4 linked regions of the Anolis sagrei genome follow. The protein of the gene in region 4 interacts with the protein of the main gene of each other region in a biochemical or structural test. Links are inferred from orthologs where the notes say so. Each region holds a gene or a part of one and is shown on either strand. Other genes may lie near its edges.

The links.
Region 1: the proteins of RB1 (region 4) and MCM7 form a complex in vitro, tested with the Homo sapiens proteins (2 studies listed by BioGRID). The link is inferred for Anolis sagrei from reciprocal best matches to the Homo sapiens genes RB1 and MCM7.
Region 2: the proteins of RB1 (region 4) and DNMT1 form a complex in vitro, tested with the Homo sapiens proteins (2 studies listed by BioGRID). The link is inferred for Anolis sagrei from reciprocal best matches to the Homo sapiens genes RB1 and DNMT1.
Region 3: of the proteins of RB1 (region 4) and CDK1, one has a biochemical effect on the other in vitro, tested with the Homo sapiens proteins (8 studies listed by BioGRID). The link is inferred for Anolis sagrei from reciprocal best matches to the Homo sapiens genes RB1 and CDK1.

Annotation. Positions count from the first base shown.
Region 1 is NC_090024.1:246,955,092-246,962,360, forward strand, and holds the start of MCM7 (DNA replication licensing factor MCM7), read right to left. Parts: upstream 3,006-7,269; 5' UTR 2,907-3,005; coding exon 2,849-2,906; intron 2,762-2,848; coding exon 2,664-2,761; intron 2,586-2,663; coding exon 2,421-2,585; intron 1,287-2,420; coding exon 1,147-1,286; intron 531-1,146; coding exon 350-530; intron 1-349. Other genes in the region: AP4M1 (AP-4 complex subunit mu-1), read left to right, coding at 4,481-4,538, 6,328-6,413, 6,494-6,606. UniProt on the Homo sapiens protein: Acts as a component of the MCM2-7 complex (MCM complex) which is the replicative helicase essential for 'once per cell cycle' DNA replication initiation and elongation in eukaryotic cells.
Region 2 is NC_090022.1:172,053,357-172,060,211, forward strand, and holds the start of DNMT1 (DNA (cytosine-5)-methyltransferase 1), read left to right. Parts: upstream 1-3,841; 5' UTR 3,842-3,932; coding exon 3,933-3,979; intron 3,980-6,855. UniProt on the Homo sapiens protein: Methylates CpG residues. Preferentially methylates hemimethylated DNA. Associates with DNA replication sites in S phase maintaining the methylation pattern in the newly synthesized strand, that is essential for epigenetic inheritance.
Region 3 is NC_090023.1:165,444,676-165,451,879, forward strand, and holds the start of CDK1 (cyclin-dependent kinase 1), read left to right. Parts: upstream 1-4,186; 5' UTR 4,187-4,302; intron 4,303-7,204. UniProt on the Homo sapiens protein: Plays a key role in the control of the eukaryotic cell cycle by modulating the centrosome cycle as well as mitotic onset; promotes G2-M transition via association with multiple interphase cyclins.
Region 4 is NC_090021.1:150,193,415-150,201,167, forward strand, and holds the start of RB1 (retinoblastoma-associated protein), read left to right. Parts: upstream 1-4,732; 5' UTR 4,733-4,818; coding exon 4,819-4,874; intron 4,875-7,753. UniProt on the Homo sapiens protein: Tumor suppressor that is a key regulator of the G1/S transition of the cell cycle. The hypophosphorylated form binds transcription regulators of the E2F family, preventing transcription of E2F-responsive genes.

The sequences.
Region 1 (7,269 bases), on a different chromosome or scaffold from region 4:
AGCTATTCTCACACTCCTTCGAACTCTGAATTCCAAACAGTCAACCCGATCTAAGGTTCCCATTTCATCAAGGTCAGTCTGTTCGTTAGTGTCCGCCTGTTTCCCTGCTTGCTCATTATCAGACTGAGAACTGTCCTCCTTCTCTGAGTCAATCTGCACCTGGCTATTTTCAGTATCAGCACTCTCATGCCTTGCTGTGGGAAAGTGCACTTCTTCACTGTCTATAACAGGGACATTTTGAACCAGGCTGTGAACCTGAGTCACATCATCCTCATCGGAGGCACTCTGTGGTTCCAGCTGAGTCACTCCCTGCCCTCAATCCCCTTTTGCCAGGCTGCCCAAAACTCACCGGCTGGTAGGTCTCCGCCCCGCAGCGGTCGCAGGAGTAGGTGGCCACCACCATCCGGGGCTTGACCTCTGAGGCGCGGGTCACGATGCCCCGGACGGTCACCAGCTTCCCGATGCAGTCGGCCTTCACCTCACGGATCACTCGGGGCTTCATCCCGGAAGGAGCCTTGAAATAGAGCTCGCTGTTGGGGGCACAGGAGGAGCGTGAGAGGGGCAAAACGGGGAGGCTGGAGTTGGAGGTTTTGGAGAAGTTATGATCTTTGCAAAGGCACGACCTTGTTAGAAATCATAATCTTTTGGGAAATGGCATTCATGCAAGACAATTATGTTTTGCAGCTGTTAAAACTGATATACCTAGTTTTTGAACTGTTAGGGACAAAGATATGCCAATGCACAAAAACGTATACATAAATATGTATATCTAGGGCCCTAAGATTATCTGAGGAGACCCTGCTCATTGTCCCCTCATTGTCGCAATCGCGTCTGGCGGGGACAAATGACAGGGCCTTCTCTGTGGTGGCCCCCCGTCTGTGGAACTCCCTCCCGAGTGAAATTAGATCTGCTGAATCCCTCTTGACCTTCCGGAAACAAGTAAAATCCTGGCTATGGGATCAGGCCTTTGGAGAATAGGCTGACTTACTGACGTGTTGACTTATTTAGAACTGATCAAGTGCCCCTGGATAATGATTTAAATTGGTGATGGCTGACTATTTGTTGTCTGTTCTTATAGTTTTATATTGTTTATGGCTTCCCCACCCCTTCCCCCCTGACCCCTCCCCTTTTGTGGGCGGGACTCACAATCTGCGCATGAGCTCTGCGGGGAAGTTGTTCTGTGGGGGGCGGGACTGCGCAGCCCCCCTTTCCCCGCCTCCTCCTCGGCGCCCTTCCAGCAGCAGCCGGTGCTCCAGGTAGACGTCCAGCGCATCCTTGTGCACAATCTAGGCAGAGCGGAAACACAATATTATTAGCCTTCTATATTTTCCTATCTCTGGCATCCTCCTCCATCAGAATTCTGGGAAATGTAGTTCCAGGCTGCGTTTTTTATTTTGCTATTCCCGGCCTAAGAGGGAATGGCAAAGGACTACATTTCCCGGCATCCTCCCCGCTGTGCATCCTGACCTCTCTCTGCTGGAATATCATATTATATGTATAGACAATATATTAAATTATAGAGTATCATATTATGTGTCTATGCAAAATATATTATATTACAGAATATCATATTATGTTTCGATGCAAAATATTATATTAGTGAATATCATATTATGTGTCTTTGCAATTATTATATTACAGAATATCCCATTATGTGTCTATGCAATATATTATTATAATGCCATACTACATATCTATGCAATATATTATAGAATATCATATTGTGTCAATGGAAAAATTATATTTCAGAATATCACGTTATATGTATATGCAATATATTACAGAATATCATATTATGTGTATGCAAAATATTATATTATATTTCAGAATATCATATATGCATATGCAATAATATATATTACAGAATACCATATTACGTATCTATGCAATATACAGGGTTAGTCAAAATGAATAGGCCAATTCGGGTACAATTAATTCTCTTATTGGCCTATTCATTTTGACTAACCCTGCAGATATCACATTATATGTTCATATAATATATATTTCTAAATACCACACGTATATACAATATATAATATATCAGAATATCATATTATATATATATATATATATATATATATATATATATATACACACAACATATATTAGAATATCATATATTTATATACAATATATTATACAGGGTTAGTCAAACTGCATAGGCCAATAAGCCATTCAATTGAATGGCTTATTGGCCTATTCATTTTGACTAACCCTGTATTATAATACAGAATGTCATATTATATTATCAGCATAGCACAGGAGACAAGGGAGAACTTTAGTGTCCTCCCCCCCTAAGAATTCTGGGAAATGTAGTTCCAGGCCGGTTTTTGGTTTTTTGGGGGTCTATTCCCGGCCTAGGAGAGAATGGCAAAAAGACTACATTTCCCAGCACCCCCTTGGTTGTAAGGAGTGCTGACCTCTCTCTGCTTGTAGGCGGGCAGGAGCCGGGCGGCGGCGTCGGCGAAGAGGCGCTGGTAGCGGGGGGCGTTCTCGCAGGCGGCCTCCGCCAAGGCCGGGTCCTCCTCGGCCACGTCGTCCAGGTCCACCCGCAGCGTGGAAGCCTCGCGGTGCGCCAGAAGGGTCTGCCCAGGAAGGGAGAAGGTTAGCAAGGGGTGGGAGCCTCCGGGGAACTCTCCCCGCCGCCTCGGGCACGGACTCACCAGCTGCTCCCGGTAGGGGAAGTGTTTCCCGGCCTGGTCCGAAGGGAGAGAAGAGGAAGAGCTGGAGAAGAATCCCTCCAGGAAGGACGCCGCCTTGTCTGATAGGAAAACAGGAAAAGAAGCGTCAGGCAAAGGGAGAGAGAGGCCTTTCCATCTCCTCCCCGCCGCTTCCTCGCTGCCCTCACCCATCTCGGCGTCGTAGTCCCCGCGTAGGCCCAGCTTCTCGCCTTTTCCCGACGCCATCCTGCCTTCTCTTCTTCTGACTGCTTTTTCCCGCGCGCGGGAAAAGGCGGCGCTGCTCCGATTGGCCGGCTCCACACGACTCAGCCAATCCCCGCCCTCCTTTCTGTCAATCCCCGCCCTCCTTCCTTGTTAGCCACGCCTCCATCTCGCTCTGGCTTTTTCCCGCGCTAGTCAAGATTGACATAATCCGATTGGTCCGCGCGGTTCCATCCCACAGCCAATCCCTGCTCGGGATTGCGCGAAAGGGAGGAGACTCTTCCACAGCTCCCACATACGTGACGCAACACCTCGGAACCAATCCCTGCTCGGCTTTGGAAGTAGAGGGCGGGGACTCGATTCAATAGGCCACGCCTCTATGTGAAGCAACGCCCCGCAGCCAATCCTTGCTTGGCTATGCAGAAAGAGGCGGAGACTTGCTCTTATACAGGCCACGCCTCTACGTGAAGCAACGCCCCGCAGCCAATCCCTGCTCGGCTATGCAAAGAGAGGCGGAGACTTATCCGTATGCAGGCCACGCCTCTCCGTGACGTAAAACCCTCAACCAATCCCAGTTCGTCTTTGAAGGGAAGGGCGGGGAAATTTCTTTATGCAGGCCACGCCTTTACGCCCCGCAGCCAATCCCTGCTCGCGTTTGAAGAGAAGGGCGGGGACTCGTCGTTCTCTAGGCCACGCCTTCAAGTGACGCACAACTCCGCAGCCAATCCTTGCTCGCGTTTGTAGAGAAGGGCAGGGACTCTTCATTCTCTAGGCCACGCCTTTAAGTGACGCAGCACGCCACAGCCAATCCCTGCTCGCCTTTGCAGGCAGGGGCGGGGACTTGCTGTTATACAAACCACGCCTCTACGTGACGCAACACCTTGCAACCAATCACCGCTCACATTTGCAGAGAAGGGCGGAAACTCTTCCTTGTGTAGGCCACGCCTCTACGTGACGCAGCACCTCGCAACCAATCACCGCTCGTCTTTGCAGCGAAGGGAGAAAACTCTTCCTTGTGTAGGCCACGCCTCTACGTGACGCAGCACCACGCAACCAATCACCGCTCGCCTTTGCAGGCGGGGGCGGGGACTTGCCGTTATACAAACCACGCCTCTACGTGACGCAGCACCTCGCAACCAATCACCGCTCGCCTTTGCAGGCGGGGGCGGGGACTTGCCGTTATACAAACCACGCCTCTACGTGACGCGACACCTCGCAACCAATCACCGGTCACATTTGCAGAGAAGGGCGGAAACTCTTCCTTGTGTAGGCCACGCCTTTACGTGACGCGACACCTCGCAACCAATCCCTGCTCGTCTTTGCAGAGAAGGGCGGAAACTCTTCCTTGTGTAGGCCACGCCTCTACGTGACGCTACATTCCTCAACCAATCCCTTCTCCCTTTATCACTGAAGGGTGGAGACTCTTCCTTGTGCAGGCCACGCCTCTAGGTGACGCAGCGCCTGTGAGCCAATCCCAGGCGGGAGGGGCGTGACCTCCCACAGGCCACGCCCCCTCCCTAGTATTTTGCTTCTTCCAGGAAGTAAGGCTAAAGAGAGTGCTCCGGGGCGTGTGCAGAGTGTTTCCTGGAGGGCCGAGGATGATCTCGGAGGTGTTCGTGCTCTCCTCGCAAGGGGACCGGCTCCTCTACAAGGACTGTATCCTTCCTGAAGGGCAGAAGGGGAGAGACTTACTTACTTACTTACTTAGGCGATCCCTCGTTGGACGAGTAAGATGGTCTTCCTTGATGACTATTTTTGTGGGTTTGTAGGTGGCTGTGGAGCCCTCTTCTTGACCCACATCTTCTCCCACAGTGAAGGCATCAGTTTCCAGGTGGAAGGCGGTCCCGGTCGGGGTTGGCTTGACGCGCCTTCCTCCTGGCACGTTTCTCTCTTTCACCCTCCACTCGTGTCTCCTCAAATTCTGCAGCACTGCTGGTCACAGCTGACCTCCAGCTGGAGCGCTCAAGGGCCAGGGCTTCCCAGTTCTCAGTGTCCATGCCAGAGTTTTTAAGGTTGGCTTTAAGCCCATCTTTAAATCTCTTTTCCTGTCCACCAGCATTCCGTTTTCCATTCTTGAGTTCAGAGTAGAGCAACTGCTTTGGGAGACGGTGGTCGGGCATCCGGGCAATGTGGCCAGTCCAGCGGAGTTGGTGGCGGAGAAGCATCACTTCAATGCTGGTGGTCTTTGCTTCTTCCAGCACGCTGACGTTTGTCCGCTTGTCTTCCCAAGAGATTTGCAGGATTTTCCGGAGGCAGCGCTGATTGAATCGTTCCAGGAGTTGCATGTGACGTCTGTAGACAGTCCACGTTTCGCAGGCATAGAGCAGGGTTGGGAGGGGAATAGCTTTATAGACAAGCACCTTGGTATCCCTACGGATGTCCCGGTCCTCGAACACTCTCTGCTTCATTCGGAAAAATGCTGCACTTGCAAAGTTCAGACGGTGTTGCATTTCAGTCTCAATGTTGACATCTGTAGACAGTCCACGTCTCGCAGGCATAGAGCAGGGTTGGGAGGACAGTAGCTTTATAGACAAGCCCCTTGGTCTCCCTACGGATGTCCCAGTTCTCAAACACTCTCTGCTTCATTTGGGAAAATGCTGCACTTGCAAAGCTCAGACGGTGTTGCATTTCAGTCTCAATGTTGACATCTGTAGACAGTCCACATTTCGCAGGCGTATAGCAGGGTTGGGAGGACAATGGCTTTACAGACAAGCACCTTGGTATCCCTACGGATGTCCCGGTCCTCAAACACTCTCTGCTTCATTCGGGAAAATGCTGCACTTGCAAAGCTCAGACGGTGTTGCATTTCAGTCTCAATGTTGACATCTGTAGACAGTCCACATTTCGCAGGCATAGAGCAGGATTGGAAGGACAATAGCTTTATAAACAAGCACCTTGGTATCCCTACGGATGTCCCGGTCCTCAAACACTCTCTGCTTCATTCGGGAAAATGCTGCACTTGCAAAGCTCAGACGGTGTTGCATTTCAGTCTCAATGTTGACATCTGTAGACAGTCCACATTTCGCAGGCATAGAGCAGGGTTGGGAGGACAGTAGCTTTATAGGCAAGCCCCTTGGTCTCCCTATGGATGTCCCGGTCCTCAAACACTCTCTGCTTCATTCGGGAAAATGCTGCACTTGCAGAGCTCAGGCGGTGTTGTATTTTGGCGTCGATGTTGACTTTGGTGGAGAGGTGGCTGCCAAGGGAGCGGAAATGGTCCACATTTCCTAATGTTACACCATTAAGCTGTATCACTGGCATTGGAGAGGGATTGGCTGGTGCCTGCTGGAAAAGCACCTTGGTTTTCTCAATGTTCAGTGAGAGGGCGAGCTTCTCGTATGCTTCTGCGAAGGTGTTTAGAGTGGCTTGTACGTCTTCTTCTGAAGGGGAGGGACAGTGGGGGAGGGCCCTGGTCCCGTTGCCCTCCTTGACCCTCTGCGCACAGTCCGTGGGGAGGGCCACCCCGGCCTCGTGGAGGACTTCTTCCGGAAGGTGACGGCGCTGCCTCCTGACCAGGCCCCGGTCTTCATGGTGAGAAGGGGGTCAAGGCCAAGGGGGAAGCACCGGACGTCACTCACCCTCTGACGTCACACCCTCCCTTTCTCCTGCAGGAGGCGCATCCCCCGGGGCTCCACTTCGCGCATGTGCGTCATGGGGGGCTCTACTTCGTGGCCACCATCCCTTCCAAAGCTTCACCTTTTGCAGCACTGGAGTTCCTCAACAGGTCAGTCGGGGGCGGGGCTTGGAGCTAGGCCACGCCCACTGCACAGCTAGGCCACGCCCCTATGCATGGGACAACTTGGGCCCTCCCTCTCTCCAGGTGTTGTGGACTCCAATTCCTACCTTCCTAACACTTGGAAGGAGGTCCTAAGTTGGCCCATGCCTGGCTAAATCCTACATCAAGGCCAGCTCACACCCCACAACAAAGGATTCCCCCAGGAAGGAAGCAGCCAGGCTTTGAAGGTGCAAGGCTACTCAATGCTAATCAAGCTAGCCAATAGCAACATTCACACTTGGCTCCAACAGATTATAGAGTTCTCTCTTTCTCCCATCCTTGACAACATTCCACAGATATATAGATATATATATATATATATATATATATATATATATATATATATAGGATTCCCCTGGACAGGAAGCAGCCAGACCTTGAGGCTGCAAGGCTACTCAATGTTAATCAAGGTGGCCAGTAGCAACATTCACACTTGCCTCCAACAGATTATAGAGTTCTCTCTTTCTCCCACCTTTGACAACATTCCACACACACACACATATATATAGGATTGCCTCGGGCAGGAAGCAGCCAGGCCTTGAAGGTGTAAGGCTATTCAGTGCTAACCAAGGTGGCCAATAGCAACATTCACACTTGCATCCAACAGACTAG
Region 2 (6,855 bases), on a different chromosome or scaffold from region 4:
TAACAGCGCTCCATGCAGTCATGCCAGCCACATGACCTTGGGGGTGTCTACAGACAATGCCAGCTCTTAGGCTTAGAAATGGAGATGAGCACCACACCCCAGTCGGACATGATTGGACTTCATGTCAGGGGAAAACCTTTATCTTACCTTTACACTGCCATACAATCCACTTCAAAGGAGACAGAATCATAGAATCACCTATAATTTTTACTGATTTTATAATATTTAATGGTTTGTTTATATGTACCTTTGGCATTGAATGTAACTGTGTTTTATTTTCTTATAAGCTGTCTTGAGTCCCTTCGGAGAGACAGGGCAGGCTATAAATACATAAATATTATTATTACTACAACAATCTTCTATGGAGCCTGTAAAGTTCTACCCAGGAAGAATGATCTCCCATGGGATGTTCCTTCTTGCTTCCTTCTCACCATTGCTACTTAGTGACCTATGGAGCCCAGGGGATGATGCAGGAGCATCCAGCTGTGTTCTGATAGCTGGACACAACACATAGTGACAAAGAATCTTGAAGAATATCTCAAGAGTCTTCTGGAGGTCCCCGGGCATGACACCATCATCACTGTGCATCTGGGTAGAGGGTATAGACAGGTAATCCTCTGCCATTTATGCTTTTCAACAGTCGCCAATGGCCATGTTAGGAAATGCAAGAGAGAGATGGGTTTTGAGGAGGTTAGGAGGTCATTTGGTCTGTAAGGAGTACATTTTGATCTATAATAACTATAGATGGGAAATTGGATATAGAATGATACTTATAGTGTTGGATATCATCCCCCCCCCCCCCCCCGGGTACCATCCCCACTACATCCTTTTAGACTGCCTTCGAATGATCTTGTGGGTTGAGTTGGGTTATGTGGTTTTTAGCCTAGATTTTAAAATTTGTGGGTTATGTGGTTTTTAGCCTAGATTTTTAAATTTGTTGAAGTTTGAAGCATATAACCCCTTGGGTTTGACGTGGATGTGCGGGACTGGGTCCCCCCGTTATGATCTGGTCACCAACCGTAATAAAGTTTACTTACAGATTACAGAAGAGACATAACACATATACACACATAGATGGACATGCACTTACACATATATGCACATAGTATGTATATAAAAGCACATACAGATACATATCTACACACTAACATATATGCACACAGTATATAAACACACTTATGCCTACATATTACGTATGTATGTATGTATATATATACATACACATATCTACACACTATAAAAACACATAGACATTTGATATATACAGTATATATACATACATACATATACATACACTCTATATATATATATATAGATACAGTCATTACACACACACACATCTCTTCTTAGGCGATCCCTCGTAGTCCGAGGATGATATATAAACATCCCAACCTCAGATATGCAGATGACACCACTCTGATGGCCGAAAGCGAAGAGGAGCTGAGGAACCTTCTAATCAAGGTGAAAGAAGAAAGCGCAAAAGCTGGGTTGCAGCTAAACATCAAAAAAACCAAGATTATGGCAACAAGAATGATTGACAACTGGAAAATAGAGGGAGAAAATGTGGAGGCCGTGACAGACTTTGTATTTCTAGGTGCAAAGATTACTGCAGATGCAGACTGCGGCCAGGAAATCAGAAGACGCTTACTTCTTGGGAGGAGAGCAATGTCCAGTCTTGATAAAATAGTAAAGAGTAGAGACATCACACTGGCAACAAAGATCCGCCTAGTCAAAGCCATGGTATTCCCTGTAGTAACCTACGGATGTGAGAGCTGGACCTTAGGGAAGGCTGAGCAAAGGAAGATAGATGCTTTTGAACTGTGGTGTTGGAGGAAAGTTCTGAGAGTGCCTTGGACTGCGAGAAGATCCAACCAGTCCATCCTCCAGGAAATAAAGCCCGGCTGCTCACTGGAAGGAAGGATACTAGAGACAAAGTTGAAGTACTTTGGCCACATCATGAGGAGACAGCAAAGCCTAGAGAAGACAATTATGCTGGGGAAAGTGGAAGGAAAAAGGAAGAGGGGCCGACCAAGGGCAAGATGGATGGACGGCATCCTTGAAGTGACTGGACTGACCTTGAAGGAGCTGGGGGTGGTGACGGCTGACAGGGAGCTCTGGCGTGGGCTGGTCCATGAGGTCACAAAGAGTCGGAGATGACTGAACGAATGAACAACAATAAATATGTGAGAGGAAGCCACAGGGGGGAGGGAGCAAGCTTGTTTTCTGCTTCCCTGGAGACTAGGACATGAAACAATGGCTTCAAACTACAAGAGAGGAGATTCCATCTGAACATGAGGAAGAACTTCCTGACTGTGAGAGCCGTTCAGCAGTGGAACTCTCTGCCCCAGAGTGTGGTGGAGGCTCCTTCTTTGGAAGCTTTTAAACAAAGGCTGGCCATCTGTCAGGGGTGATTTGAATACAATATTCCTGCTTCTTGGCAGGGGGTTGGACTGGATGGCCCATGAGGTATCTTCCAACTCTTTGATTCTATGATGGTCCTCCAAGTTTGGTGTACTGGTGGTGGGTCCGTAGGTGACTGTGGAACCCTATTCTTGACCTGCATCTTCTCCCCCAGTGAGGGCATCAGTTTCCAGGTGGAAGGCGGTCCCAGTCGGGGTTGGCTTGGCACATCTTCCTCTTGGCACGTTTCTCTCTTTCACCCTCCATTTGTGCCTCTTCAAATTCTGCAGCACTGCTGGTCACAGCTGAGCTCCAAGTGAAGCACTCAAGGTCCAGGGCTTCCCAGTTCTCAGTGTCTATGCCAGAGTTTTTAAGGTTGGCTTTGAGCCCATCTTTAAATCTCTTTTCCTGTCCTCCAACATTCCGTTTTCCGTTCTTGAGTTCGGAGTAGAGCAACTGCTTTGGGAGACGGTGGTCGGGCATCCGGACAACGTGGCTGGTCCAGCGGAGTTGATGGCAGAGGACCATCGCTTCAATGCTGGTGGTCTTTGCTTCTTCCAGCACGCTGACATTTGTCCGCTTGTCTTCCCAAGAGATTTGCAGGATTTTCCGGAGGCAGCGCTGATGGAATCGTTCCAGGAGTTGCATGTGACGTCTGTAGACTGTCCACGTTTCGCAGGCATATAGCAGGGTTGGGAGGACAATAACTTTATAGACAAGCACCTTGGTCTCCCTACGGATGTCCCGGTCCTCAAACACTCTCTGCTTCATTCTGGAAAATGCTGCACTTGCAGAGCTCAGGCGGTGTTGTATTTCGGTGTCGATGTTGACTTTGGTGGAAAGGTGACTGCCAAGGTAGCGGAAATGGTCAACATTTTCTAATGTTACACTATTAAGTTGTATCTCTGGCATTGGAGAGGGGATGGCTGGTGACTGGTCCCCCTCTATATATACAGTCATTACATATATACACACGCGCACTTCTCTCACTGCCATGCACAGAGCTACAGAGTTATGGTCTGCATTTTGTAAATGATCAAAGCGACCTCTGACTTTTCTATAAGGACCTCATCACACTAGAGAATGAATCCACTTTAATCCCGGTTGCTGCCTCCTGCAGAATTCTGGGGTTTGTAGTTTAGGGAGGAGCCTAGAACAGCATCCCTAAACTACAAACCCCAGAATCCTGCAGGAGGCAGAAACCAGATTGAAAGTGGATTCATTCTCTCTAGTGTGTGATGAAGTATGAAAGCCCTAAGAAATGTATGGAGTCACCAAACCTCGATAAAGGCACATCAATACAAACAAGCACCCCCTCCGTTGTCTACTTGGTCTCCCCCACTCCATGCATTGAGAAGGCCCGAAGTAGAGACCTCCTCTTGCCTCCCCCCCCCCGGGCCTAATGCCGGATGGTTCATTCCAGCTCCGGCCCCGCCCCTCCCTCCTCCCCCTCCTCCCCGGTGCGCGCGAAACCGCTCTCGGCCGCCCTCCGGCTCCCTGCCCGCCGCCTTCCTTCCTTCCTTCCTGCCGAGATGCCCGCCCGGGCCGCCCCGCTGACCCCCGAGGAGCTGCGCAGGCGGTGAGTGAGGCCCCTGCTCCCCACGACCCCAATTCAAGCTTTGGGGGGGGGGGGCAAGCACCCTCAGTGAGGGGGAGAGTACTGGTCTTTCGAGCCCCCCCCTCCATTTTGTATATGGTTTCTCCCTCCTCAGCCCCCCCTCCTTTTTAGACATGGTTTCGCCCTTCTTCTTCGTCTCTCTCCTTCAGAGGGAAGTGAAGGGAGAGTGTGAGGAGAAAGAAGGGGGTCTCTTAAAGGGAAAGGTGGCCTTCTGAGGCCTTCCTGGACACCTTCCCCTCATTTAACATAATTACACCATAATTACTCCTCCCCTATCAAATTCTGTGTGTTCTTGAAGGATTGGAAGGCCTGCTTTGCTGATAGGGGAGCATCTGAATAAAATGAGCACCTTCCAGCTGAATCAAATCCCACATTATCACCTTTGAACTGGATTATATGGCAGTGTGGACTCAGATAACCCAGTTCAAAGCAGATATTGTGGGATGGCCAGCCTTGATGTTGTCTCTGTGGAAGGGCCCTCCATTGCTTGGCCAGTCCTGGGCCTGTTAACTGCCTCCACTTTTTTTTTTCAGTATTGGAATGGATGCTCATCAATATGTTGTTGTTATTATTGCTAATTTCTGTTTCTTTCTGCCTCTGCGTTCTTTTCTTTTGGCTGCCCTGCCACGCAGCACAAGTTGGGTGTTTGGCTGTCAATCATCTCCAAAAGCGAGAAAATAACTTAAGGTGTCAAGTTTTGTTCGTCTCAGGTTTCTTCTCTTTAGAATCAAAGAGTTGGAAGAGACCTCATGGGCCATCCAGTCCAACCCCCTGCCAAGAAGCAGGAATATTGCATTCAAATCACCCCTGACAAATGGCCATCCAGCCTCTGTTTAAAAACCTCCAAAGAAGGAGCCTCCACCGTGCTCCAGGGCAGAGAGTTCCACTGCTGAACGGCTCTCACAGTCAGGAAGTTCTTCCTCATGTTCAGATGGAATCTCCTCTCTTGTAGTTTGAAGCCATTCTTCCGCGTCCTAGTCTCCAAGGAAGCAGAAAACAAGCTTGCTTCCTCCTCCCTATGACTTCCTCTCACATATTTATACATGGCTATCATATCTCCTCTCAGCCTTCTCTTCTTCAGGCTAAACATGCCCAGCTCCTTAAGCCGCTCCTCATAGGGCTTGTTCTCCAGACCCATGATCCTTTTAGTCGCCCTCCTCTGGACACATTCCAGCTTGTCAATATCTCTCTTGAATTGTGGTGCCCAGAATTGGACACAATATTCCAGATGTGGTCTAACCAAGGCGGAATAGAGGGGTAGCATTACTTCCCTGGATCTAGACACTATGCTCCTATTGATGCAGGCCAAAATCCCATTTGTCTTTTTTGCCGCCACATCACATTGTTGGCTCATGTTTAACTTGTTGTCCACGAGGACTCCGAGATCTTTTTCACACGTACTGCTCTCGAGCCAGGCATTGTCCCCCATTTTGTATCTTTGCATTTCGTTTTTCCTGTCAAACTAGGCCTCCCCCAACGTTTTTAATAGCAATAGAAGCAGAGAAGCAAGGGGATTCAATAATAATAATAATCTTTAATGTTGTGTCTCTTATTGTCTATATGTTTTTAATTGCTTGTATTGTTGTTATTATTGCTTGTATTGTTGTGTTTGGGCTCGGCCTCATGTAAGCCGCACCGAGTCCCTTGGGGAGATGGTAGCGGGGTACAAATAAAGTATTATTATTATTTATGCCTCCATCTCCCAAATGGGGACTCGGGGCGGCTTACATGATGCCAAGCCCAGCAACACAATGCAATAACTAAAATCAAAACATACACAATAACTTGATAAATTACATAAAACATAAAGATTTCCTACTTTTTGTTGTCTCCAGGAGGCAGGAAGAGGAGGCTAGCTGCTCTTTGTAGTTTACATCCATTCCAGTTTTGTGTTTGGGGACTCTGGGCCCTTCCACACAGCCATATAACCCAGAATATCAAGGCAGAAAAATCCCACAGTATCTGCTTTGAACTGTTATCTGAACCTTCACTGCCTTATATTCCAGTTCAAAGCAGAAAATGTGGGATTTTAGTCAGCTGTGTAGAATAATAATAATAGTAATAATAATAATAATAATAATAATATTTTTGTCGTGTCAGGAGCGACTTAAGAAACTTCAAGTCGCTTCTGGTGTGAGAGAATTGGCCGTCTGCAAGGACGATGCCCAGGGGGCACCCGGATGAATTGATGTTTTAATAATAATAATAATAATAATCTTTATTTAGACCCTGCCACCATCTCCCCAAAGGGGACGCGGGGACCTAAGGCTGTATAAAATCCCACACTATCTGCTTTGAACCGGGTTATATGGCAGGGTGGACTCAGGCCCTTCCATACAGCCATATAACTCAGAATAATAAGGCAGAAAAATCCGACAATATTTGCTTTGAACTGGGTTATCTGAGTCCACACTGCCATATATTCCAGTTCAAAACAGAAAATTTGGGATTTTATTCAGCTATGTGGAATAATAATAATAATAATAATAATAAACCTTTATTTGTACCCCGCTACCATCTCCCGAAGGACTCGGTGCGGCTTACAATAATAATAATAATCTTTATTTATACCCTGCCACCATCTCCCCAAAGGGGACTCAGGGACCTAAGGCTGTATAAAATCCCACACTATCTGCTTTGAGCCGGGTTATATGGCAGTGTGGACTCAGGCCCTTCCATACAGAATAACAAGGCAGAAAAATCCGACAATATCCGCTTTGAACTGGGTTATCTGAGTCCACTCTGCCATATATTCCAGCTCAAAGCAGAAAATGTGGGATTTTATTCAGCTGTGTGGAATTATTATTATTATTATTATTATTATTATTATTATTATT
Region 3 (7,204 bases), on a different chromosome or scaffold from region 4:
TTGGCTGTGTAATTGTGATGATGATGTATTGTAATATGTTTTAACGTGTAATGATAATGCATTGTGTGGTTTGTATTTTGTATATGAACACATGTTGTGAACCGGATCTGAGTCCCTCCTGGAGGTGAGAAGATCGGTATAGAAAACTTTTAAATAAATAAATTTGCTCTATTTACTGGGTTCTAGGGAAGTGCACTTGGAAAGCAGCAGACACAGGGCCTTTTCTATTTCTGCCCCTGCCTTATGGAATTCCTTGCCTCCCTATTTTAGAGCCATGCGTGATTCAGGGCATTTTATCCTAGCACTTAAGACCTGGCTTTTTAATAGAACATTTGAGCCATGTTAATTTTAGTATTTGTATGTATGTGTTTTATCCTGTATAATTTCTGCAATGTAAATCGCCTGGAGCATCTCGGATGGAGGGCGATTAATAAGTAATTAAAGATGATGGTGATGATTGTACTCAGGTCAAGAGGTTACAGTCGGGATAGCATATGGAGAAACTGGATGATTTCCAGTTGGCAATGTCCTTAGGCAAGGCTGCCTTTTATTACCCTATCTACTTAGAACACATTATTTGTAAAGGAGGCATAAAAACTGGAGAAATTGGCATACTCCTGTCAATTACAATTACCAAGCATCAACAATGGTCTCCCAAGTCATAGTCCAGTGTTCAGACCATTACACCACGGTGCCTCTTTTTTTATCTGGTTTGTTGCACAACCAGTTGGGAGAAACATCGACACAATTCAAGTTAGTTGTTCCTCTCCCCTAGTCATGTTCATTATGACTGTAAATAGCTCTCAAGGAACTTAGGCCCTTTCTACACTGCCATATAATCCAGATTATCAAAGCAGAAAATCCACATTATCTTCTTTGAACTGGATTATATGAGTTTCCATTGCCACTTCAAAACTTATCATCTGGATTTTATATGGCAATGTAGAAGAGGCCTCAGAGGGACAACTTTCAACCCACTTTTCCCTTGCAGTTTTGGGCAGAGAATGCAATCATAGGGTCTGCATGGTTCTCCAGTTTTTCTCCAAATATTTTGGCCGTCAACTCCCATAATCCTTGCTGCTGGGGCTTCCGGGAAATTAAGCCAAAAAGCATCCGGAGGTACAAAGATTGAAAACTATTACTTGAGTCTAGGCAGTTGTTTGCCTAACTGGCTGTGAAGCTAATATACTTATGGCATATTAGTCACTTACGTAATAACAATATACGTAAGAATTGGGCATGTGTAAGAACATGTTATATTGTTTCACCTACCCTGCATTCTTTACTCTGCAAGTTCTCAGGAAGCATTTTAAAGTTTTATGTTTTTGGATTTCTGCTTCTAGTTTACACTATTGTTTATTTTACAGAGCTATTTGCATTTCTTTAGGTAAATTAATTTCCCACAAGACTTTGAAACTAACCATGCCTTTCTGAAAAGGTTGCTAAAGCAAGCATAGTGAATGTGCAGTTCTCTAGACATTGCTGGACTGCAACTCCAATCACAGTCCTTACCATTGGCTATGCTGGCTAGGTTGATGGAATATATAGTCCCACAACATTTGGAGACCACACATTGCTGATCTCAGTTGTCTAACCTATGTCTCTCTGCAGTAACATTTTCTGCAATGAGTCAAAACTACACATTTGTATTTGTATGTCTATCCATTTGTCTACTCTGCCCTCTAATGGGCAACAGTGAGATGAGCTGCCCTAGTGTATCTATATAAATAAAAATGTAATGCTCATTTGTGGGATTAACAGAACTCAAAAACCACTGGGGGAATTGACACCAAATTTGGACACAAGATACCTAACAACCCATTATTCAAAAAAATTGATTTTGTTATTTGGGAGTTGTAGTTGCTGGGATTTATAGTTCACCTACAATCAAAGAGCATTCTGAACTCCACCAATGATGGAATTGGGCCAAGCTTAGCACACAGGGCTCCCATGACCAACAGAAAAACTGGAAGAGTTTGGTGGACATTGACCTTGAGTTTGGGAATTGTAGTTCACCCACATCCCTCCTGACAAAGAGCCATCCAGTCATAAATATAGATAGATAGATAGATAGATAGATAGATAGATACGATTCTCTCTCACACACAGAGATATAGTATCATAGATTTGAAAGACACCCTTAAAGAAGGGCAATGATATGTTGCATATTCCAGAGTAGGCAAACCAGACAGTTTGGTCCAGATCCATCATTGTTTGAGTCCACAGTGCTCTCCGGATGTAGGTGAACTACAACTCCCAAACTCAAGGTCAAACCCTTCCAGTGTTTTCTGTTGGTCATGGAAGTCCTGTATGCCATGTTTGGTTGAATTCCATAATTGGTGGAGTTCAGAATGCTCTTTGATTGTAGGTGAACTATAAATCCCAGAAACTACAACTCCCAAATGTCAAGGTCTATTTTCCCCAAACTCCACCAGTGTTCACATTTGGGCATATTGAGTATTCGTATAGAGTTTGGTCTAGATCCATCATTGTTTGAGTCCACAGTGCTCTCTGGATGTAGGTGAACTACAACTCCAAAATCAAAGAACACTGCCCACCAAATCCTTCCAGTATTTTCTGTTGGTCATGGGAGCCCTGGGTGCTAAGTTTGGCCCAATTCCATCATTAGTGGAGTTCAGAATGCTCTTTGATTGCAGGTGAACTATAAATCCCAGCAACTACACCTCCCAAATGACAAAATCAATTTTTTTGAGTGAAGGACATACATTGGGTTGTTAGGTGTCTTGTGTCCAAATTTGGTGTCAATTCCCCCAGTGGTTTTTGTGTTATGTTATTCCCACAAATGAACATTACACTTTTATTTATATAGACTAGCCATCCCTTGCCACGGGTTGCTGTGGCCCACATGGGGGTTCTGTGTGGGAGGTTTGGCCCAATTCTATTGTTGGTGGGGTTCAGAATGCTCTGTGATTGTAGGTGAATTATAAATTCCAGCAACCACAACTCCCAAATGTCAAGATTCTATTTTCCCCAAACTCCACCAGTGTTCACATTTGGGCATATTGAGTATTCTTGTAGACTTTGGTGCAGATCCATAATTGTTTGAGTCCACAGTGCTCTCTGGATGTGGAAGAACTACAATTCCCAAACTCAAGGTCAATGTCCACCAAACCCTTCCAGTTTTTTCTGTTGGTCATGGAAGTCCTGTATGCCATGTTTGGTTCAATTCCATCATTGGTGGAGTTCAGAATGCTCTTTGATTGTAGGTGAACCAGAAATCCCAGCAATGACAACTCCCAAATGTCAAGGTCTATTTCCCTTAAACTCCATCTGTGTTCATATTTGGGCATATGGAATATTTGTGCCAAGTTTGGTCCAGATCCATCATTGTTTGAGTCCACAGTGCTCTCTGGATGTAGGTGAACTAGCTGGAATGTGTCCAGAGGAGGGCGACTAAAATGATCAAGGGTCTGGAGAACAAGCCCTATGAGGAGCGCCTTAAAGAGCTGGGCATGTTTAGCCTGAAGAAGAGAAGGCTGAGAGGAGATATGATAGCCATGTATAAATATGTGAGAGGAAGCCACAGGGAGGAGAAGGGAGCAAGCTTGTTTTCTGCTTCCTTGGAGACTAGGACGAGGAACAATGTCTTCAAACTAACTACAAGAGAGGAGATTCCATCTGAACATGAGGAAGAACTTCCTGACTGTGAGAGCCGTTCAGCAGTGGAACTCTCTGCACCGGAGTGTGGTGGAGGCTCCTTCTTTGGAAGCTTTTAAACAGAGGCTGGATGGCCATCTGTCAGGGGTGATTTGAATGCAATATTCCTGCTTCTTGGCAGGGGGTTGGACTGGATGGCCCATGAGGTCTCTTCCAACTCTTTGATTCTATGATTCTATGATTTTATAGGGCTATGTGGAAGGACCCAAGAGCTGGGAAGCCTCTCTAAGCAGGAGAGTCTATTTATACCATTGGAAATTATTCCAAAGAAATTTAAGAGGGTTTATGGACACTTATGTATCAACATGGCGTTACGTCATCAATACGTGCCCTGCCTCGCGATTTTTAATTTCTTGTTGCTGTTCCTTTTCTTCTCTGTTTCCTGCGCCCGCCCGCCTGGCCTCGGCTCGAGCCAAGACCGCTCTTCCGCAGCGCTTTGGCGCCGGTGGTTTGCCGCGCGCTGATTGGCCGTTTTGAAAGCGGCGGCCCGTCCTTATTGGCGCGTTGGCGGCGGCTCGGCGCGGTTCATTTGAATCCGCCTCTTGCTCGGCTGCCTGAGGGAGACTTGCAGAGAGAGGAGCGCGGCGTGGGTCTGGAGGGGCAGCGCCCACGGATGAAGCACGGGTAAGGGGCGAGGTGGTGTTGGGGGACCCCCTTTTCGACACTCTCCAGAAAGCCACACTAGTTGGGAATCTCAGCCTCATGGAACACCGTTCAGACTGAGAGAAAGGAGTTGCTAGCATAGTTTTCCATGCATTGCAGCACCCAGAATTCCCCCAGCCATCTACTGCGTCTACACTGTGGAATGAATGCAGTTTGGCTCCACTATAACTGCCATGGAATCCTCAGAGTTGTCGTTTGGGCCCTTTTTGGCCTTGTAAAGACTCCAACTCCCACGATCCCTGGGCAGTTGAAGTGGAGTCCACATTTATTCATTTACTAGCTTGGGGACCCGGCGTTGCCTGGGTTATTAGAGAAAGTGGGTAATGGCGGTTCTGTATGCCAAGTTTGGTCTTTATTGGTCTTTGGATAACGGCTGCATTATTTTCAGGAAGTGAGTGAAGGCACTTAGTCCCATCATCCATGGCCCATCCTCCTCCAAACAGCAGCAGGATATAGAGTGGGTCATGGGGGCTCTGTGTGCCAACTTTGGTCTTGATTGGTCATTAGATGAGTTTTGCAGCAGTCTTGGGGAGTGGAGGTACTTGAAGTCCCATCATCCATTATCTGTCCTCCTCCAAACTGCACCAGGATGTAGAGTGGGTCATTGGAGCTCCATGTGCCAAGTTTAGTCTTGATTAGTCATTGGCGAGGGTCTCAGTGGTCTCAGGAAGTGAGTGAAGTGACTGCAAGTCCCATCATCCATTGTCAAATTCTTCCAAACCGCACCAGGATGTAGAGTGGGTTATGCTGGGTCTCTGTAAATTGTGCTCCTGATCCATCATTGTTGGCAGTTGTAATGGTCTTAGAAAGGGAGTGCAGGTATTGCAAGTCCCATCGTCCATGGTGCATCCTCCTTCAAACTGCACCTGGATGTAGAGTGCGTCATGGAGTCTCAGTGTGCCAATTTTGGTCTTTGTCGGTAATTGGATGGGAGTTGCAGTGGTCTCAGGAATTGAACAAAGGTACTGCAAGTCCCATAATCCATGGTCCATCCCTGGCCAAATCACACCAGATATAGATTTATTTACTGTATTTATATCCCCTCTTTCGAACCCCATAGGGCAGTGTTTCTCAACCTTCCTAATGCCATGACCGCTTAATACAGTTCCTCATGTTGTGGTGACTCCCAACCATAAAATTATTTTTGTTGCTACTTCATAACTGTAATTTTGCTTCTGTTATTAATTGAAGACAATTATGCTGGGGAAAGTGGAAGGTAAAAGGAAGAAGGGCCGACCAAGGGCAAGATGGATGGATGGCATCCTTGAAGTGACTGGACTGACCTTGAAGGAGCTGGGGGTGGTGACGGCCGACAGGGAGCTCTGGCGTGGGCTGGTCCGTGAGGTCACGAAGAGTTGGAGACGACTGAATGAATGAACAACACAACAATTAATTGTAAAGTGAATATCTGATATGCAGGATGTATTTTCACTCACTGGACCAAATTTGGCACAAATATCCAATACGCCCAAATTTGAACACTGGTGGGGCTGGGGGAGGGGTTGTCATTTGGGAGTTGTAGTTGCTGGGATTTATAGTTCACCTACAATCAAAGAGCATTCTGAAGTCCACCAGCAATGGAATTGAACCAAACTTGGCACACAGAACTCCCATGGCCATCAGAAAATCCTGGAAGGATTTGGTGGGCACTGACCTTGAATTTTGGAGTTCTAGTTCACCTACATCTAGAGAGCACTGTGCACTCAGTGATGGATCTGGACCAAACTTGATCTGGATACTCAAGATGCCGAAATGTGAACACTGGTGGAGTTTGGGGGAAACAGACCTTGACATTTGGGAGTTGTAGTTGCTGGGATTTATAGTTCACCTACCATCAAAGAGCATTCTGAACCCCACCAACAATAGAATTGGGCCAAATTGCCCACACAAAACCTCTATGACCAACAGAAATTACTGTTTTCTAATGGTCTTTGGCGACCCATCTGACATCCTCTTGTGTCCCGACCCCCAGGTTGAGAAACGCTGCCATAGGGGGAATCAAGGCGGATTACAAAATACTAATGACAAAAATTCAATGCCAACATACATGTAAAAAGAAAAAAAATCATTTTTTGTTGTGTCAGGAGCGACTTGAGAAACTGCAAGTCGCTTCTGGTGTGAGAGAATTGGCCGTCTGCAAGGACGTTGCCCAGGGGACGCCCGGATAATTTTGATGTTTTTATTATCCTTGTGGGGGGCTTCTCTCATGTCCCCACATGAGGAGCTGTAGCTGATAGAGGGAGCTCATCCGCCTCTCCCTGGATTCGAACCTGCGACCTGTAGGTCTTCAGTCCTGCCGGCACAGGGGTTTAACCCACTGCGCACCAGGGACTCAAAAAAAATCATAGTAACTAAACACTAACATATAGCTATGCATTAAAATCATTAAAACCACAAAATAGAAGGCATAAACAACATTTAAACATTAAGACAAAGCATTAAAAAACATTTTAGTATAAATATTAAAATAACACGATCCAGTTCAGGTTGAGTATTCCTTATCTGAAATGCTTTGGACCAGAAGTGTTGCATATTTTGAATCGTCCTGTATTTTGGAATATTTGCATATATTTAATAAGATATCTTGGTAACGGGATCCAAGTCTAAACAGGAATTCATTATACACATTATACATGTAAGGTCAATTATTACTTTAATAATTTTGTGTATGGTTACACTGAACACTCAGAAAACAAAAGGGTCACTATCTCAGCTGCCCTCATTGGACCCTCCTGGATTCCAAGGTATTTTGGGAAGGATTCATTCCTCAATGTCGATGCTACACAATCCTTTTGCATACTAGTCTTTTTTTTTAAAGAGTCCATGCATTTCCTTTTCCTGTTTGTGAGTTGCATATAACCCA
Region 4 (7,753 bases):
ATTTTTCATCTTAAGACACACCCTCTTTTTCATATTTTGAAGTATAGTGTCCTTTTTATATGTTTGAATAGCAGCTGTATAAAATCTTAGTTAGTGCATTACAAGAAACGGACCTAGAAAAAATACCAGGTCAATAGTGCATCTCATCTTAAAATAAAATTTGATAGAATAATATCTTCTGATTAAAAAAAAAATAAACAGACTATGACACTTTAGATTTTTAGCAGCATATTACTAGTGATGTGGTTGATTACAGCATATTCAGAAAATGATTTATAATAAAAGTGCAATTTCTTATTTTTTTTAATGCAATTACTTTTACATTTGATTTCCAAACGGCTGTTCTAATATAGGTGTCTGCTGTAACAAAATTGAGCAGTAACTTTGTGTTATTGAGATGTATATAAGCTATGTATGTGCAATGGAAAATAAATATTACAAACCTGTTTGTCTAAAAGTTTGTCCATTTTCTTTTCACATTTTCTTTTACATGGCGAATTTCTCTAGGATGCTTAACATAGGACTACTGAATTTTAACCTTAATAATATTTTAGATTAGAATTGAGATTAGATGTTATAAAATATGTCATATGGCTATTAGTTGAAGCAAATAATACAATTTTAAATAAAAAATAAGGTCATGTACCTGTTGGATTCTGTATCTCTTTCACCATCATGACTGAATATTCCCATGATACCACTTCCACTGATACATTTTTAAAAAGTATTTGTAGCAGATTTCAGAATACATTTTGTTTGTATTGGAGAACCTGGGCTCAGGTCCATGGATGAAAAACAGAGCTATTACCTGCTTTGGTGGGATTGTTTGTGTTTCCATCAAAAGGGATATTGACAAGCTAGAAGGTGTTCAGAGGAGGGCGACTGAAAGGATCAAAGGTCTGGAAACCATGAATCCCTATGAGAGTGACTTAAAGAGCCAGGGATGTTTAGCCTGCCGAAGTAAAGGTTGAGAATAGACACAATCTATATAAATAAAAATGTAATGTTCGTTTGTGGGATTAATATAATTGAAAAACCACTGGACGAATTGACATCAAATTTGGACACAATATACCTATCAGGCCAGCGAGTGACCATCACTCATAAAAACACTGTGAAACACAGCGGAAAGGACTAAAAAAGCCAAAAAGATGCTACAGCGCATGCGCAAACCACACACATACATGCAAACACACTTATATACACACAAAGCACATATACAGAAACTGGGCCACAGCAACGTGTGGCAGGGGGCAGTTAGTAGCCATGTATAAAGATGTGAAAGAATGTCATAAGAGGGAGCAGGCTTGTTTTCTGCTGCCCTGGAAACTAGGACTCAATGGAGGAATGGGCTCAAATTGCAGGAAAGGAGATTCCACCTGAACATTAGGAAGAACTTCCTGACTGTAAGAGCTGTTCAGCAGTAGAACTCTCCGCCTCGGAGTCTGGTGGGGGCTCCTTTGGAAGTTTTGTAACAGAAGCTGGATGGCCGTCTGTCGGGGGTGCTTTGAATGCAATTTTCCTGCTTCTTGGCAGAGGGTTGGACTGGATGGCCCATGAGGTCTCTTCCAGCTCTATTATTTACGAGTATGAATCTTGTCTTTTGGAGGCAAGTGTGAATGTTGCAATTGGTCACCTTAATTAGCACCAAATAGCCTTGCAGCTTCATAGCCTGGCTGCTTCCTGCCTGGGGGAATCCTTCTGTGGAGGCCATATTATTATTATTATTATTATTATTATCTTTATTTGTACCCCGCTAGCATCGATGCGGCTTACAAAGGTCAAGGCCTCAAACACAACATAACAATACACAACCTAAAGCAAATTAAAAACAGTTGAAGCAATATTAAACAACAAGCAATAAACAGTGCACCCGGAAACAATAAAACTGGGCCGGGCCAGAGCAATGGGTACATATGTCTGGGCTGATTTGATTGTGCTTTTCCTGCATGGCACAGAGTTTGACTAGATGGCCCATGCAGTCTCTTCCAACTCTATGATACTATAATTCTAAATAGAGGCTGAAAGAAAGCCCATCTGCTGAGACTGCTTTGTGTGTTCCTGCATGGCAGAATGAGGTTGGACGAGATGGCCCTTGCAGTCTCTTCCAACTCTTACGATTCTATGGGTCTAAGATATGATAGAGCTAAACTAATCCGACTACAGAAGCTCAAGGAGATAGCAATGGGATTTCCACCATTCAGATTTATGAATCTACTACTTTTTATGCTTCTTTCATTCCTCCGTGATTGTAATTTCCAAAGTATCTGGCAGGTTTGTTAGATACCAAGATGAGAAAGATATTTCTCTGGATAATAGGGAATGTTCTTCCTTTGGCAGATGGGAGGGGACATCTAAACAGGACAGTACAGGGCTTCTTAAACCTTTTCAACAATGCTTGACATGACCCTAGGTATGTAGGGTATATGAAATAGGTATAAAAATTGAACATGTATTGAGAACTAATCAGGCTCGGCGACGAGTTCAGGATCACTCCCAAGCTGTGAACCTGTGTCTTTAGTGGGATCCCATTTGAGGCCAGGACCCAGTTTAAGAAGCAGTGAGACGGAGTACAGCGGGCCCTCGGTATCCACTGGGATTTGGTTCCAGGACCCCACTGGATAACAAAATCAGGATATACAATGGCAAAATCACACATACAGCCTTTATTGGCATACAACAACAAAATCACAACACAGGCCCATACAACAAAAAGTCACAGATAAAAAGGAAAACATACTTAAACGTTACTAGTCTCAAGAATAAATTTTGCAGCAGTCTGGCATGCATAGTCCTCAGTGGTTGAAAAGAGGTACAAGTGTCTTGAAAGGAGGGAACTCTGAACACGGGCCTTCAATCATGTTCAGAGTTCCCACCTCTTATTACACTTTACAAACAAGTTTACAACTGAAAAACAGGTGGGATGGGAACCACCAAGTTTCCCGTCTTGTTTCGTTGCCCAACTGACAGCAGTCTCATCGAATGCTCTAGTAAAAAGTCAGGTCTTAAGTGTGAGAGTAAAAGGCCCTAAGTCACGCATGGCTCTCATGTAGGGCAACAAGGAATTCCACAAGGCAGGGGCAGAAATAGAAAAAGCCCTGCATCTGATCCTTTCCAAGTGCACTTCTCTAGGACCCAGTATATGGAGTAAGTCACGTTGGGCTGGTTGTTGCGATCTCCGATGATGGGAGGAGAGGCGGTCCCTAAGGTACGATGGACCCTGGCCGTAAAGAATTTTAAAGGTCAGAACTAACATCTTATACAGGCCACGGTACTCAGTTGGAAGCCAATGTAAATGTTGCAGCACTGGTGTTATATGGCATTTCATGGGCGTTCTTGTGAGTAACCTGGCTGCCGCATTCTGAACAATACGAAGCTTTCGGGTCGTAGACATCAGAAGGCCCACATACAGGGCGTTGCAATAGTCCAGCCTAGACGTTACCGTGGCATGGATGACAGTTGCCAGTGCCTCGTCAGATAGGTAGGGTGCCAGTTGCCTCGCTTGTCGTAGATGGAAAAAGGCCTGTTTGCTGGCAGCAGCGACCTGAGCTTCCATTGTCAGCTGTGAATCCAGGATGAGGAAGAACAAGCTGAAGATTAATCCCGACAAGACAGAGGTCCTCCTGGTAGATTGTAAACCAGATTGGGGTATAGGGTGGCAACCTGTGCTGGACGGGGTTACACTCCCCCTGAAGTCACAGGTCCACAGTTTGGGTGTCCTCCTGGACTCATCACTTATGCTTGAAGCTCAGGCGTCGGCGGTGGCCGGGAGGGCCTTTATTTATTATTTATTTATTTAGGTTACTTTTACCCCGCCCTTCTCAACCCCCAAGGAGGGACTCAGGGTTACAAAGAAGGCACAATGTGATGCCTATACAAATTACACATAATATACAAAACCATGGCTAAAACAATTATTGCAGTTAAAAACAATAAAAACAATCAGTACATAACATGTCATATATAAAAACTATAAAAAAAACTATTCTCATGCTCAGCGCTTCGTCTTTCAGAGTTCCATAATTCTATTCCATTAATCATTTCCTAATCATTGTCAAGTCCTTTTATCTGCCCGATTATCCGAATGCCTGGTCCCAAATCCATGTTTTCAGTTTTTTCCTAAAGTAAAGGAGCGGTGTTGCAGATCTAATTTCCCTGGGGAGTGAATTCCAAAGGTGGGGGGCCACCACCGAGAAGGCCCTGCTCCTCGTCCCTGCCAATCTCACTTGTGATAGAGGCGGGGTCGAGAGCAGGGCCTCCCCAGAAGATCTTAGACTCTGGGGTGGGACGTAGAGGGAGATCCGTTCGGATAGATACACTGGGCCTTTGCACAATTAAGACTTGTGCGCCAACTGTGACCGTACCTCGGGAAGGCGGATCTGGCCAGGGTGGTCCATGCCTTAGTCACCTCCAGATTGGACTACTGTAATGCGCTCTACATGGGGCTGCCCTTGAAAACGTAATGGAATTGGACAATACCCTTGCCATTGGGAACACCGTGAGAAAATGGGAGGGCAAAAAACAAAAACAAAACAAGGTTTGCTTATAGTGATAGGATATGCAGCTTGACACTTCTGTCCAGGTGGAAGGGGGAACTATGAAGAGTCCAAACCAAGCCCGCCTTCAGCACCTGCTTCTCTCCTCTCTTGGCCACCAGTGAAGGGAAGCTCCGCGCGCCCTCCAGAGCAGGAAGTGACGTCTGCGGCGGGCGCGAGGCCCTTTCCCGCGGTTCGCGAGGCCTGCTGCCGGTTGGCTGCTGGCTGTCGCGCGCAGGAGAGGGAGGGGGCGCCGCCGCTGAGGGGCTTGGAGGCGCCCAAGATGGCGCCCACGAGGCCCCCGAGGAAGGCGGAGCCGGAGCCCGCGGCCACAGCCAGGTCAGTGCCCTCCGTCCCCCTCTCTTTTGGCCTTTTCCCCCATAGAAGGAGAGCGGCTGCCACCCCACTGGGCTTTTGTTCATCCCAAGGGAAGCCCAAGTAGGAGGGGAAGGGGTCTTCTCCTCAAAGACCTTACAACAGGCATGGGCCAACTCTGGCCCTCCTGGTGTTTTGGACTTCAACTCCCACAATTCCTAACAGCCGCTAGCGGCTGTTAGGAATTGTGGGAGTTGAAGTCCAAAACACCAGGAGGGCCGGAGTTGGACCATGCCTGTGTTACAATGACAGGAAAAGTTTCAAAAGTTGTTGCTCTGCTGCTGCTGTTGTTGGAAAAGATCCAGATCTGAAGTTCCCCTTTTGACAGTCGCTGCCATTGCCATCTTGTCTTAAGAAGTTCCCTTTGTGGCTACTTTCAAATCAACTTTGTCTTCCTTTCCAAATGCCAGCCTCCGTTTATTTACAAACTAGCCGTCCCCTGCCAGGCGTTGCTGTGGCCCAGTCTGGTGATCTGGAAAACAAAGTAATGAGAAAGTGTTGGATTCTAATATATGTAATTTTTATGCTTGTGAGTAAACAGTGTTTCTTTGTCAATGTTGATGTGGAGATTGTCTGGAACGTGCAACATGCAAATTGTCCTTCTTTAGGGGTCCTCTTCAACTCTATGATACTATATGTGTGATACTCTGTGTGAATCATATATATCTATCTATATCTAAGGCTGGATGGCTCTTTGTCATGATTACGTTTGATTACGTTTTCTTGCCCTGGTGAAGGGAGTTGGACTGGATGGCCTTAATAATATGGGGGTTCTGTGTGGGAAGTTTGTCCCAATTCTGTCGTTGGTGCGGTTCTGAATGCTCTGTGATTGTAGGTGAACTATCAATCCCAGCAATTACAACTCCCAAATGTCAAGATTCTATTTTCTCCAAACTCCACCAGTGTTCATATTTGGGCATATTGAGTATTCGTGTAGAGTTTGAACCATATCCATCATTGTTTAAGTCCACAGCAATCTCTGGATGTAGGTGAACTACAACTCCAAAACCAAAGGACACTGCCCACCAAACCCTTCCAGTATTTTCTGTTGGTCATGGGAGAACTGTGTGTCAAGTTTGGTTCAATTCCATTGTTGGTGGGGTTCAGAATGCTCTTTGATTGTAGGTGAACTATAAATTCCAGCAACTACAACTCCCAAATGACAAAATCATTTTTTTCGAGTGAAGGACATACATTGAGTTGTTAGGTGTCTCGTGTCCAAATTTGGTGTCAATTCGTCCAGTGGTTTTTGAGTTCTGTTAATCCCACAAACGAACATTACATTTTTATTTATATAGACTAGCTGTCCCCTGCCACGTGTTGCTGTGGCCCAGTCAGTTGATCTGGAAAATAAAGTAATGAGAAAGTGTTGGATTCTAATATATGTAATTCCTTTATGTTTGTGGGTAAACAGTATTTATTGCAGTTTCTTTGTCAGTGTTGATGTAAAGATTGTCTGGTTTGCTTACTCTGGAACATGCAACATGTCATTTTTTAGGGATCCTTTTCAACTCTATGATACTATATCTCTCTCTGTGTGAATCATATATATCTAGCTATATCTAGGGCTGGATGGCTCTTTGTCAGGAGGGCTTTGATTACGTTTTCTTGCTCTAGTGAAGGGAGTTGGACTGGATGGCTTTAAGTATTTTCTGTTGGTCATGGGAGTTCTGTGTGGGAAGTTTGGCCCAATTCTGTCGTTTGTGTGGTTCAGAATGCTCTGTGATTGTAGGTGAACTATAAATCCCAGTAACTACAACTCCCAAATGTCAAGGTCTGTTTCCCCCAAACTCCATCTGTGTTCATATTTGGGCATATGGAATATTTGTGCCAAGTTTGGTCCAGATCCATCATTGTTTGAGTCCACAGTGCTCTCTGGATGTAGGTGAACTACAACTCCCAAACTCAAGGTCAATGCCCACCAAACTCTTCTAGTGTTTTCTGTTGGTCATGGGAGTTCTGTGTGCCACGTTTGCTTCAATTCCATCGTTGGTGGGGTTCAGAATGCTCTTTGATTGTAGTTGAACTATAAATCTTGGCAACTACAACTCACCAATGGCAAATCATTTTTTTAGTGATGATCACTCCATGGGTTAGTAGGTGTCTTGTGTCCAAATTGGCGGCAATTCGTCCAGTGGTTTTTGAGTTATGTTAATCCCACCAACAAACATTACATTTTTATTTATATAGATTCTTCCTATTTCCTCTCCTTTATTACTACTAGTTCACTTGGCCATTTGGACATACTCTAGTACTTTCTCTCTCCAATCTTTAACAGTGAACTCTTTTTATCCCTTCTAAGATTTTGTTATTGCTAGTCCTGCTGCAACAAAGCTGTATTGCGCTGTCCAGCACTTTCATGCCTGGAATTTCTGTGAGTTTTCCGGGCTGTATGCCCATGTTCCAGAAGCATTCTCTCCTGATGTTTTCCCCACATGTAGGACAGGCATCCTCAGAGGTTGTGAGATCTGTTAGAAACTAGGCAAGTAAGGTTTATATATCTGTGGAATGCCCAGGGTGGGAGAAAGAACCATTGTCTGTTTGAGGCAAGTGTGAATGTTGCAATTGGCCACCTTGATTAGCATTGAATGGCATTGCAGCTTCAAAGCCTGGCTCCTTCCTACCTGGGGGACTCCTTTGTTGGGAGATGCTAGCTGGCCTGGATTGTTTCATGCCTCGAATTCCTGTTTTCTGAGTGTTGCTGAGTGAGGACAGTAAATAAAAATAAAAAGCCAGTTGACACCATTCAACAAAGGATTCCCCCCAGGCAGGAAGCAGCCAGGCTTTGAAGCTGCAAAGCCATTCAGTGCTAATCAAAGTGGCCAATTGCAACATTCACATTT